3 linked regions of the Saccharomyces cerevisiae S288C genome follow. Changing the gene in region 2 together with the main gene of any one other region gives a genetic interaction. Each region holds a gene or a part of one and is shown on either strand. Other genes may lie near its edges.

The links. Genes that interact genetically often act in the same process or in processes that back each other up.
Region 1: mutations in DPB3 (region 2) and MEP1 together harm fitness more than expected from each alone (negative genetic interaction), as found in Saccharomyces cerevisiae (2 studies listed by BioGRID).
Region 3: mutations in DPB3 (region 2) and REC114 together harm fitness more than expected from each alone (negative genetic interaction), as found in Saccharomyces cerevisiae (2 studies listed by BioGRID).

Annotation. Positions count from the first base shown.
Region 1 is NC_001139.9:730,907-734,867, reverse strand, and holds MEP1 (ammonium permease MEP1), read left to right. Parts: upstream 1-1,940; coding exon 1,941-3,419; downstream 3,420-3,961. Other genes in the region: YGR122W (uncharacterized protein), read right to left, coding at 1-933; YGR121W-A (uncharacterized protein), read right to left, coding at 1,241-1,456. UniProt on the Saccharomyces cerevisiae protein: Transporter for ammonium (both charged and uncharged NH3 and NH4) to use as a nitrogen source. Can also transport methylamine. The affinity of MEP1 is about twenty times lower than that of MEP2. MEP3 has the lowest affinity.
Region 2 is NC_001134.8:758,320-761,399, forward strand, and holds DPB3 (DNA polymerase epsilon noncatalytic subunit), read left to right. Parts: upstream 1-1,974; coding exon 1,975-2,580; downstream 2,581-3,080. Other genes in the region: tyrosine/serine/threonine protein phosphatase PPS1, read right to left, coding at 1-1,724; PAF1 (Paf1p), read left to right, coding at 2,938-3,080. UniProt on the Saccharomyces cerevisiae protein: As accessory component of the DNA polymerase epsilon (DNA polymerase II) participates in chromosomal DNA replication.
Region 3 is NC_001145.3:534,393-538,151, reverse strand, and holds REC114 (Rec114p), read right to left. Parts: upstream 1,946-3,759; coding exon 704-1,945; intron 588-703; coding exon 543-587; downstream 1-542. Other genes in the region: ERG29 (Erg29p), read right to left, coding at 1-314; JLP2 (Jlp2p), read left to right, coding at 2,582-3,208; ribosome biosynthesis protein RRB1, read left to right, coding at 3,454-3,759. UniProt on the Saccharomyces cerevisiae protein: Required for the production of double-strand breaks (DSBs) in meiotic recombination initiation; not required for mitosis. Plays a role in activation of the DSB nuclease SPO11 at recombination hotspots.

The DNA of each region.
Region 1 (3,961 bases), on a different chromosome or scaffold from region 2:
CTTCTTCTCAAATATCCGTTGGTTTTTTAAAGTAGACCCATGTATTTTCCTTTTAAACGACATCTTTATAAGATCCCTCTTCTTTGTAATATCGGTTGAGGATAAAATGTCCAACTCTTTTAGTTGCGAATTGGGTACTATATTTAACAGTTTTTTGATCGATTCTTGGAGCATCCCAATGGCAATTCCGCACTCATCATTGTTGTATTGGTTGATTGATAGGAAGAGATAGGTCAAACTCTGTAAATAATTCATAAATAATGCGTCCACTATACGGCCTCCTTGGCATTGCGAAGCAGTGCTATAAGATCCAATACAAAGCTTAGCGTAAAAGACACTGGACTTGCCTAGCTCTTCCAATTCTTGAGGCTCAAGGTCCGCAACAGCATCCTTGCTGATTTTTGATCTTAGTTTAGACAGTGCTAAAACGACAATCCCTAGTTGTTGCAGCAATTGAAACTCTAATGATAGCTGATTAAGGACGTTGAGAACCTGCATCTTTTGGCAATCATTAGCTGTGTTTATTTGAAAATTCTTTCCAAGAAAGCAGATTAAGCCTAGACCTCTCTTTAGATAGGTCCCGCTTGTTGTCCATAAGTTATTTGACGCTTGTGAAGATTCATAAGCTCTGTACAATGTTTCAATACCGATGTCTTGATAAAATACGGCAACATTGATTAACGCAATCGCTATCTCCTCTTCAATGAGAGCGGCGTCATTATTAGCTTCGTACCTGTGGGTTAACAAACCCTCTGTGTATTTTAGCCACGTATCTATACATGTAATGCTGTCAGCTTTGGACGAGGAACTGTTCAGTGAATTTATGCAATTATTTCGCAGTATGATTAAATCATTAGGTATGGAAGTTGTTATTTTGCTGCTGCCAGATAATTTATAGGGAAGTTTCTTTGTAGACATTGCATTCTCACGCATGATTTATTTTGTTAGAGCTACTTTTCACTTTAAAGTTCAACCTTTGAATAACCAGTTCTCGATTATACGTTTTTTCTTACAGCCGGTTTACGTCAGCGCAGGAAAATTGAAAACTATACTATTCAATACATAGAACGTAACACAATGGCGTCCCCTCAAAAGTGTACACTTCTTCAAGATGTTACTGCGGCTACATGCAACACCCCTAGAGCTATTTGTAAGGGAAGACAAGATCTCAAGTGTTACCACAGCCCGTAATTGAGTTCGGCACTATTCGAGCGCACAAAAAATCCCGTACTGTTTTTTTTCAGATAAGAAAGACTGAGCCTATATAAACACTACCTGAACCATTTTTAAGATAAAAGTTATATACGATAGAGTTATCCCCTCTTAATAATTGATCAAGAACCTCTGAAGCACAAAAGGGAGCATAAGAGCACTTAGGGACAAACGTATTTCTTTCCCCCACTCCCCTTTTTCCCTTTGCGATGCACATCCATAACTTGTACTTGTGTCTTGACATTCTTCAAAATCAACATGGCGATGCTCTTCTACGGTTGTCCTTTGCCACGAACTTTGTTTTGCGCCTCCCCTCCCTTTGTCAGGCTGAGTGCAAAAGAAAAGGCCCTGGTTGCTTATCTCTGCGGACACGCGCCCCTCTTATTGGATGAGACATCTCAGAGATTGCGATAACGATAAGATTCACAATTGCTACAGACACCCTTGTGTGACATCTTATGGCTATGTAAGCACAGAAGAGAAGAAGAAAGAAATGACAAAGTATTGATGGAAGATGTTTTTCCTGAAAAAAAAAAAAAAAAAAAATCGGAAAAGTGGTGTAGGCTTCTATAGCACCTTCTGCTTACCAGTCGATAATGCAGTTCCAGAATAAGATACTTAAAAGGTAGTTTATTTATATAGGCGCTCTTGTAACTTGTTTAGGCTTATGATCAGAGAATTATTTTAGTAAACATAACTGCAGTACGGATTCTTATACTGTAGAAACTATGGAGAGTCGAACTACAGGGCCTTTAACGACTGAAACCTACGATGGCCCCACTGTGGCCTTCATGATATTAGGTGCCGCCCTAGTATTTTTTATGGTGCCCGGATTGGGATTCTTGTACTCCGGATTGGCAAGAAGGAAGTCTGCACTAGCACTAATCTGGGTTGTATTAATGGCGACTTTGGTCGGTATACTGCAATGGTATTTCTGGGGTTACTCTCTAGCTTTTTCAAAGTCCGCTCCGAATAATAAATTCATTGGGAATCTAGATTCGTTTGGCTTTAGAAACGTGTACGGAAAAAAATTCGATGAAGATGCCTACCCTGAGCTCGCGTATGCAACCTTCCAAATGATGTTTTCGTGCGTCAACTTAAGTATTATCGCTGGCGCCACTGCCGAAAGAGGCAGGCTGCTACCGCACATGGTTTTTCTCTTTATTCTAGCTACCATTGGATATTGTCCAGTGACGTATTGGATTTGGTCACCAGGTGGTTGGGCATACCAATGGGGAGTCCTCGATTGGGCAGGCGGCGGCAACATTGAAATATTAAGCGCTGTTTCCGGGTTTGTTTACTCTTGGTTTTTGGGCAAAAGAAATGAAAAGTTACTGATAAATTTCAGGCCTCATAATGTTTCATTGGTCACTCTAGGCACATCCATACTGTGGTTTGGCTGGCTGCTATTTAATTCTGCATCCTCATTATCCCCAAATTTGAGGTCAGTTTATGCATTCATGAATACATGTCTCAGTGCCATTACTGGTGGGATGACGTGGTGTCTTCTGGATTACAGATCGGAGAAGAAATGGTCGACAGTTGGTCTGTGCTCCGGTATCATTTCTGGGCTGGTGGCTGCAACGCCAAGCTCAGGCTGTATAACCCTTTACGGTTCACTTATTCAAGGCATTGTGGCGGGGGTAGTGTGTAACTTTGCGACGAAGTTGAAATACTACGCTAAAGTAGATGATGCCATGGACATTCTAGCTGAGCACGGGGTTGCAGGCGTAATAGGACTAATTTTCAATGCCCTTTTTGGAGCAGACTGGGTCATTGGTATGGATGGCACTACAGAGCACGAGGGCGGCTGGGTAACTCACAATTACAAGCAAATGTATAAGCAGATCGCTTACATTGCCGCATCCATTGGGTACACTGCTGCTGTAACTGCAATAATCTGCTTTGTGCTCGGCTACATACCCGGTATGAGGCTAAGAATATCAGAAGAGGCAGAGGAGGCGGGTATGGACGAAGATCAAATTGGCGAATTTGCGTACGATTATGTGGAAGTGAGAAGAGATTACTATCTATGGGGTGTAGACGAAGATTCACAACGCTCTGATGTAAATCACCGGGTGAACAACGCTCATTTGGCCGCTGAACGTAGCAGTAGCGGTACTAATAGTTCCTCGGATGGGAATGGAGAAATGATTCAATCCGAAAAGATCCTACCAATTCATCAAGAAGATCCTGCCAATAGGTAAACGGTTTATTGATTTTGTTTCCAGCTTGGCTCTCTTGATTTTTTATGAGCACGTGTTATTTATTCCTTATTCAAACCTTCATATATGTATAGATGTGCATTGTTTATACGTTACCTAGCATTTTAATGACCCTCCTATTTAGTTATCTTTTATCACATTCGTTAAAACCTAGAGGAAAAAAAGAAAACTGGAGGATTTCACAAATCTTCCTCCAATGTTGCTCATTTCAAGCAAAAAACGACCCCAGTGAGGGTTGAACTCACGATCTTGCGATTAACAGTCGCACGCCTTAACCAACTTGGCCATGGAGTCTTTTTGACTATGTTCTCGAGAAAATATAGGCTCTCTTAGTCCTCAACATTTTAATTATTTGAGTACACCAACCGGTAATCGTGAAATAGTTAACACTCTAGATCCAAAAAATACGTATTTAGGTATAATGGGATGTAAGACCGTTTTTATGAGGGTGCCTTATTTAAATTAAAATTATTATTGCTCGGGCCTTTACCTCGATTTCATGGAATTTTCAACAGGACAAGAAA
Region 2 (3,080 bases):
TCAAGAGGAATCTTCATAAAAAATATGCTACTAAAAAGCTCTGAAGAAATGTGTAATTGAAAGCTTTTATCCCTAAATTTCAATGCATTGGCATATAATTTTAGATTACTTCCATTCTGCGGACTAAACTCCCGCAGGACAGGTTGTAAATGGCCTAAAATTTGCAAGTCTGATGGAAAAAGGAAAAATGGTCTTGGATGGATCCTCAAAAGAGCGTCTTGTAACGGAATATTAAAGTGGAATATAATATAAGCTGTTAATAATAATGACGTTTCTGTATATCCGTCTTCGCAATACATGAACGTCAATAATTCTTGAACTTGGGATACTTGAAATATTAAATAACAAACATTCAAAAGAATTTCCACAGACTGAATGTTTAAGTTCCCCAAACCTATACTACCTGAGGCAGGGAAAGTCAAATGCAAATGCTCTTGTGATTTTGACGCATCATCGTCTAATAAAAGATCTAGATATGTTCGGATTTTCGTTAACGACGGCATTTGCGAGTTTGACGTACATTTTATGATCAATTTCCACACCTCTTTTGTATTCGGTATGTTATACAGTTGAGAAATGGAGGTTGTCGGATTGTCCGTATCATAATTTAGAGACTTTAAATTTACTATGCTTGTATTCTCTTCGAAACGGTGGGTCAGAGATATATTGTTTTTTTTAATTATTTGATAATTATGCCAATCAGTGGTGTTACCGCAAATCAACCCTGTTTCCTCCAATCGTGTAGCTGAAGTCAGCTTATTCAACTCTAACTTCTCGCACAAAACCATATTCTTATCAACGTTATTGAAACACACTATTTCACTAGGTGACGAACATAAATTCAAGGGAGTATTATTCTTGAAAAATTCGTTGTCTAATAAAGGTGTACCAATCAAAGTTTGAGGTATATCTGTATTGAAATTCTGATAAGTGCAAATAAAAAGATTCGTCTTGTAAAGCGATCCTCCACTCCCTACATAACCCTTTTGAACAAACATTAAACAGATCTGTAAAAGTAGTGCAAGGGTTGTACAATTGGGGCAATTTCCCTCGTGTGAGCACGCTGGCGCTGATTCTGTTTGCATATCAGTGCTGCCACCAGTCCGCGAACAATAAATTACTATATTATCAACCATTTCTATCATCTTGGCACATTGCAGGTCGAACCTTCGGAATAGACCTCTCCTTCCCCAGACGTCCTGCCCACTCCGTTTTAGCGTGGTATTAGACCCAACCTTGTTTCTAGAATACCTTTTAAGTTCTAATGATAGTCCACGAGGATCTACTTTCAGAAATGGTAAAATGCTATGATTGTGACAATAAGTAGCAGCGTTTTCCAAAGCAACATCATCCACTTGCAATTCCAATTGTCGTATCTGAAACTTTAGCAAGTTCAAAAGTTCCTTTGTGTTATTGGGATATTGAAAACCATTAGAATCATTTCCAGTTTCACAGGTATCGCCCTCTCTATGAAAGGAAGTGCGAACTTTCCAGGACTGGAAGATATCATTCACTTCGAGAGAATTACGCAAAAGCGCAGAATTGTTAGCATCTGATTGCGATTTGACTATTGCAAGAGAATGAGGAAAATCGGGTGGTTGACCAAAGGAAATATCATGAGCCCAGGGGAACATTTTTTTACATTCAGGCCATTCTGCATCCTGATGTAGTCGCATAAGATCATGCAGTTCACCAGGTGTGATTGAGGGCACTTCCAAAACCATGGTTGTTGCTCTAGTTTTCTATACCCGCCCCTTCTACCTCAATGACAATCTCTCTTTTATGGTTGGTGTTTCTTTTCACTTTTTTACTTCTTCTTGTACTTTTCTTTTTGAACCTTAAAAACTCTTGCAATTATGTTTCCATGATGCTTTTGAAGTAATAATTTATTTTTATTACGCGAAATTAATGGCCTTAACAACTGCCTGCCCCAACAGATAAAAACAAGCAAGGGTCAACCGTGTTGCAAAAAAAATGTCCAACTTAGTTAAAGAAAAAGCACCTGTCTTTCCTATATCTAAAGTAAAGAAGATTGCCAAATGCGACCCCGAATACGTAATTACATCTAATGTAGCTATATCAGCGACCGCATTCGCTGCTGAGTTATTTGTACAGAATCTCGTCGAAGAATCGCTGGTCTTAGCACAACTGAATTCGAAAGGAAAGACAAGCCTACGATTAAGCCTAAATTCTATAGAAGAATGTGTCGAAAAAAGAGATAATTTCAGGTTTCTAGAGGATGCCATTAAACAACTGAAGAAGAATAGCGCACTCGACAAGAAGAGAGAACTAAACATGCAACCGGGTCGGAGCGATCAAGAGGTTGTTATAGAAGAGCCTGAATTGCATGAGGATGATGGTGTAGAGGAAGAAGAAGAAGAAGACGAGGTATCCGAAGAAGAAGAGCCCGTACACAATGAAGAACTTCTTGATGATAGTAAAGATCAACAAAATGATAAATCCACGCGCAGTGTGGCAAGCTTGCTGTCGAGATTCCAGTATAAATCCGCACTAGACGTAGGAGAACACTCCGACTCTTCTGATATCGAAGTTGACCATACGAAAAGCACCGATCCTTAGTGTTGTTGCTATTATTGCTATGTAATTACTATTCGATGCAATATGTTATACATATACATACACGCAATGAGAACCCTAACCTTGAACTTACTATTTTAAAAGGACATCTCGAAAAAGCTTAGGGATAATTAATATTTTGTAGGTTAGAGCTGTTATGTAGGGAAGAAAAACAAGGGCTTTAAAATAATAATCACATTACACGAATAACTTAATTTGTCTTTCTGAAATGGAAAAAGAAAAAAATGACGACTGTAACATTGGATGAATTAATACTGTCATTATTGATACGTTGTTAATTATAGACAGAAATGTATTCAGTACAATAGAACAGTGCTCATAATAGTATAAAGGGTCACAATGTCCAAAAAACAGGAATATATTGCACCAATAAAATACCAAAACAGCTTGCCTGTGCCACAATTACCTCCTAAACTTCTGGTTTACCCCGAGTCTCCGGAGACGAATGCAGACTCCTCCCAACTAATCAATTCACTATACAT
Region 3 (3,759 bases), on a different chromosome or scaffold from region 2:
TCTTCAATAACAATACCGCTTTTCTCGTCTTTGTATTCTTTACCGTGATATTCATCACTCACCAACATCCGATGAAGCTTCAGACTTTCATCGATTCTTCCACGCTCTAGTTCTTCTGATGTGTTCTTTTGTAGAAGACTCATTTCGATCGTTATATACAGTTCGTTAAAAAATGCAAGCGTACCAACCACTATCAAAAAGAGAGTTATCCTACCACTTATTCGATCATGGATAAATTGATGAACATATGGCAACTCCTGTAGTTTATTTATTAATTTTAATTCGAGATTTAGATACCTATCCTTTAACGACATACCGGCCTTTGGTTCTTTTTCTATACCACACTTTGCTATAAACACTTCCAAGTATATTGCAGATTTGCGATGTGATTCAATTTTTATAATGCTTTATATTTTGTTTTTTTTTCATAAAGGCTTACTTAAACGAGCTTGCTCTTCTTGCTTAGCGATATTGCCGAAACTCGGGTTTACTTTTCCATTTTACTTCGTGGCTAGTGTAAAAAGGAATTGCAAAAAAAGGGTTCACTTTTCGAACATTTTATTGAGAACCGTTTCAACCTTATTAACCTTTTCATTCATATTTGTAGTGGCAAAAGTTGTTAGTTAGTATTTCTTTGTCAAGTCAGAGAAAATGAGTGGATAAGAGGGGGAAACAGCTCAGTTTCTTGCAAATGCATACATACCCATTTCATGAATTCTTCGTCTTTCAACTTTTCCTTGATTAGCCGCTTAGATATTTTTCTTGACGCATTCCGATTAACGTTTTTAACTCTTATCGTTAATCCTTCGCTTGGCGATGCTTCTTTCCTCGTTTCATTAAGTGTGCCGTTAGGTAGCACTTCTTTATTTCTATCAGGGGTATGTGTATTTCCAGATTTTTGGGGGTTTGTTAGTTTATCATCAATATTTTTCTTATTACTGGTATTTTTCTTCGCCGTGTTGTCTTTCCCGGGGCTCCATATAATCGTTGGTGTTGCATCTAAACCAGTGACGCTTTGCATCTGACTTTCCCTTTCCTTTGGTATATGAATAGTTTCTAATAAACCAGTTTTACACAGAGCAATCTCCTTTCTTGAAGTAAAATCAGAAGTGGTGTCGACTTTTTTCTTTTTGTTTTCTGCATTAGGAAGGCAGTTGGTAGTGTTTGGTGGAGATTGAGAAACCTCCAATGGCTGTACAATTAGCGACTCAGGACGACCCAAAACAGTTTGCGTAGCCATTGGAGTGTTGAGGTCTTGTGAAGATTGTACTACATTTAAATCCGTGTTTGGCCATATTTGTTGAGCTATTTGAATGCTGTCGTGTGGTAAAGTTATATTTGAACGATTATTTGACTCTCTTTCAGATTCTTCCTGATAACGTTGACTGAAATCCATAATCATGTTTTGAGTTTGAAATTGCGTGTTCGGATTTGTGTAGCTACTAACTTTTGGACCTTCTGTGAAACAGACCTTTGTACCGTTATTATTGCCTTGCACCTGGCTTGTTATTGTACTCTGGGCTATTGATGTCCTAGCTGTCCTTAAAACAAAATTAAGGTTCTTTAAAGAAACTACAGTCCTGTTGAACTCAACGTCATTTGGCAAATTCATCTGAAACCTCCTTAACATTCTGGGTCCGAATTCTTCGGAGATATATTTACAAGAGATTATGGGGCTTTTACATGAAAATTGTATTAAATCTTGATTATCCCCCAGCGGCAGGCGAATATTTTCGAGAAGTGTTGAATTATTGAGAACCACATTGATCAGAATTTGTCTAGAGTCCATTAGAAGAACCCGAAATTGGAGAGTGCAGTTAGCGGAAAGGTGTTGCCACTTGTCTATCTGAGGAGGCTCAAGCATTGATTGAAAACCATTTGGAGCGAAGGAGGGAATTGTATACTTGGAGTATTTCTTTATTACAACTGAGCAGTACTCGTACATTTTTCTCTTTTTTTTTATTTTAGTTCTCTCTTTCAAACTTAACTTGACGATATGTTAAAACCTTCTCCTTTGCTTTTTATAAGTTAGCCGCCCACCTTGTAACGAAATTCTCTATTAGTAAAAAAAAGTTGATATTCTTTCAGGAACCCACCAAAATGGGCTTCGTATTTAAGTATGTATTAATAATTTATGTTATTATTATTTAAAATACTGAATACTTTAACAGTCATTTAAGTGTTTATGAATATGCAGACGGTAAACTGAATTTTATTTTATTCCTACAAAATCACATCGTAGAACATATAAGTAGTCATTACATCTATAAAAAAATTAACAGTGGTTTGAAAACATTCGTTGTGCTCGATCAATCATTTGAAAAGAGACTTCTTATTTTTTCTGAATGCTAGATGCTATTTACTTTCATCTTTTATACTCTTAATTTATATTTAGTTTAGGATATAGATTATCCTAGGCTTTAATATTTTAATGGAAAAAAACTACAATAAGATTGAAACAAAGAACTTGGATAAAAAAACAAAACAACTCTGTAGACCAGAGGACTGCCTTATACTTAAAATTTAGAAAGTAAGCGAATAGAATTATAAGGCTCAATTGAAATTCAACTTTTCAATAACAATGGTGTATTTCTATGAATCAAAACCAACTGAGTATTCAACACCTTACCAAATTGTGATGGGCAAAGATAAGTTTGAAAACGATCTACTTATCAAATGGAGCTATAGGGAGTTAAACTATGTTTGGTTTCACGCGGATAAGTACTCAAGTGGTCATGTTTATTTAAAGTTACGCCCAAATGAAAAAACAATCGATGACATACCGCAAGAAGTGATATGTGACTGTCTGCAGCTATGTAAATCAGAATCCATTCAAGGAAACAAAATGCCACAATGCACCATCTTGATAACACCATGGCATAACTTGAGAAAAAACAGGTATATGAATCCCGGTGAAGTATCATTTAAGTCTCTAAGACAATGTAGAAAAATGGAATGCGGAGCACGAGATAACAAAATACTAAACAGACTGGCCAAGACAAGGGTAGAACTATTTAATAATGTGGAAGCTACACTTAACGAAGCAAAGAAGACCAAAAATGGTGATTTTTTTGTAAACTATATTGAGTCGAATAGATCAAATCTTATTGAAGAAGAAAAGCTAAGGAAAGTAGCGAAAAAAAACCAAAAGAAGAAGAACAAACAGTCTAAAGATGAGGTTACTGACGATATGCAACTGGAAGTATGATATCATCTACATAACGTAGACGCTTCAAAATAGAGTACCATTTGTACTTACATCGTGATCACGTTTCTTTTTTCGTTCGAGCCGTGAAAATTTTTTTCCTTTCAGCGAAAAATACAGAAAATAAAATCCAACTGAATTTAGCGATGAGATGATCATTTCTTATAGGGATTGTAGTTGTTTGAATTTGTAGGTAAATAGTTATATCACCTACTCTCCGTTTTCATATACACGGAAATAGCACCATAATGTCGAAAAGGTCTATCGAGGTCAACGAGGAACAAGATAGAGTGGTCTCTGCTAAAACAGAATCTCACTCTGTTCCTGCTATTCCCGCCTCTGAAGAGCAAGATGCTCCCAAGAATGACCTAGAAGAACAATTGAGTGATGAATTTGATAGTGATGGTGAAATTATTGAAATTGATGGCGATGATGAGATTAATGACGAAGATGACCTTAGGAAAAAGCAAGAAGAAGCTGAAACTTTAGTACAAAAGGACCAATCCGAAGGCAACAAAGAAAAGATCCAGGAGCTTTACTTACCCCATATGTCT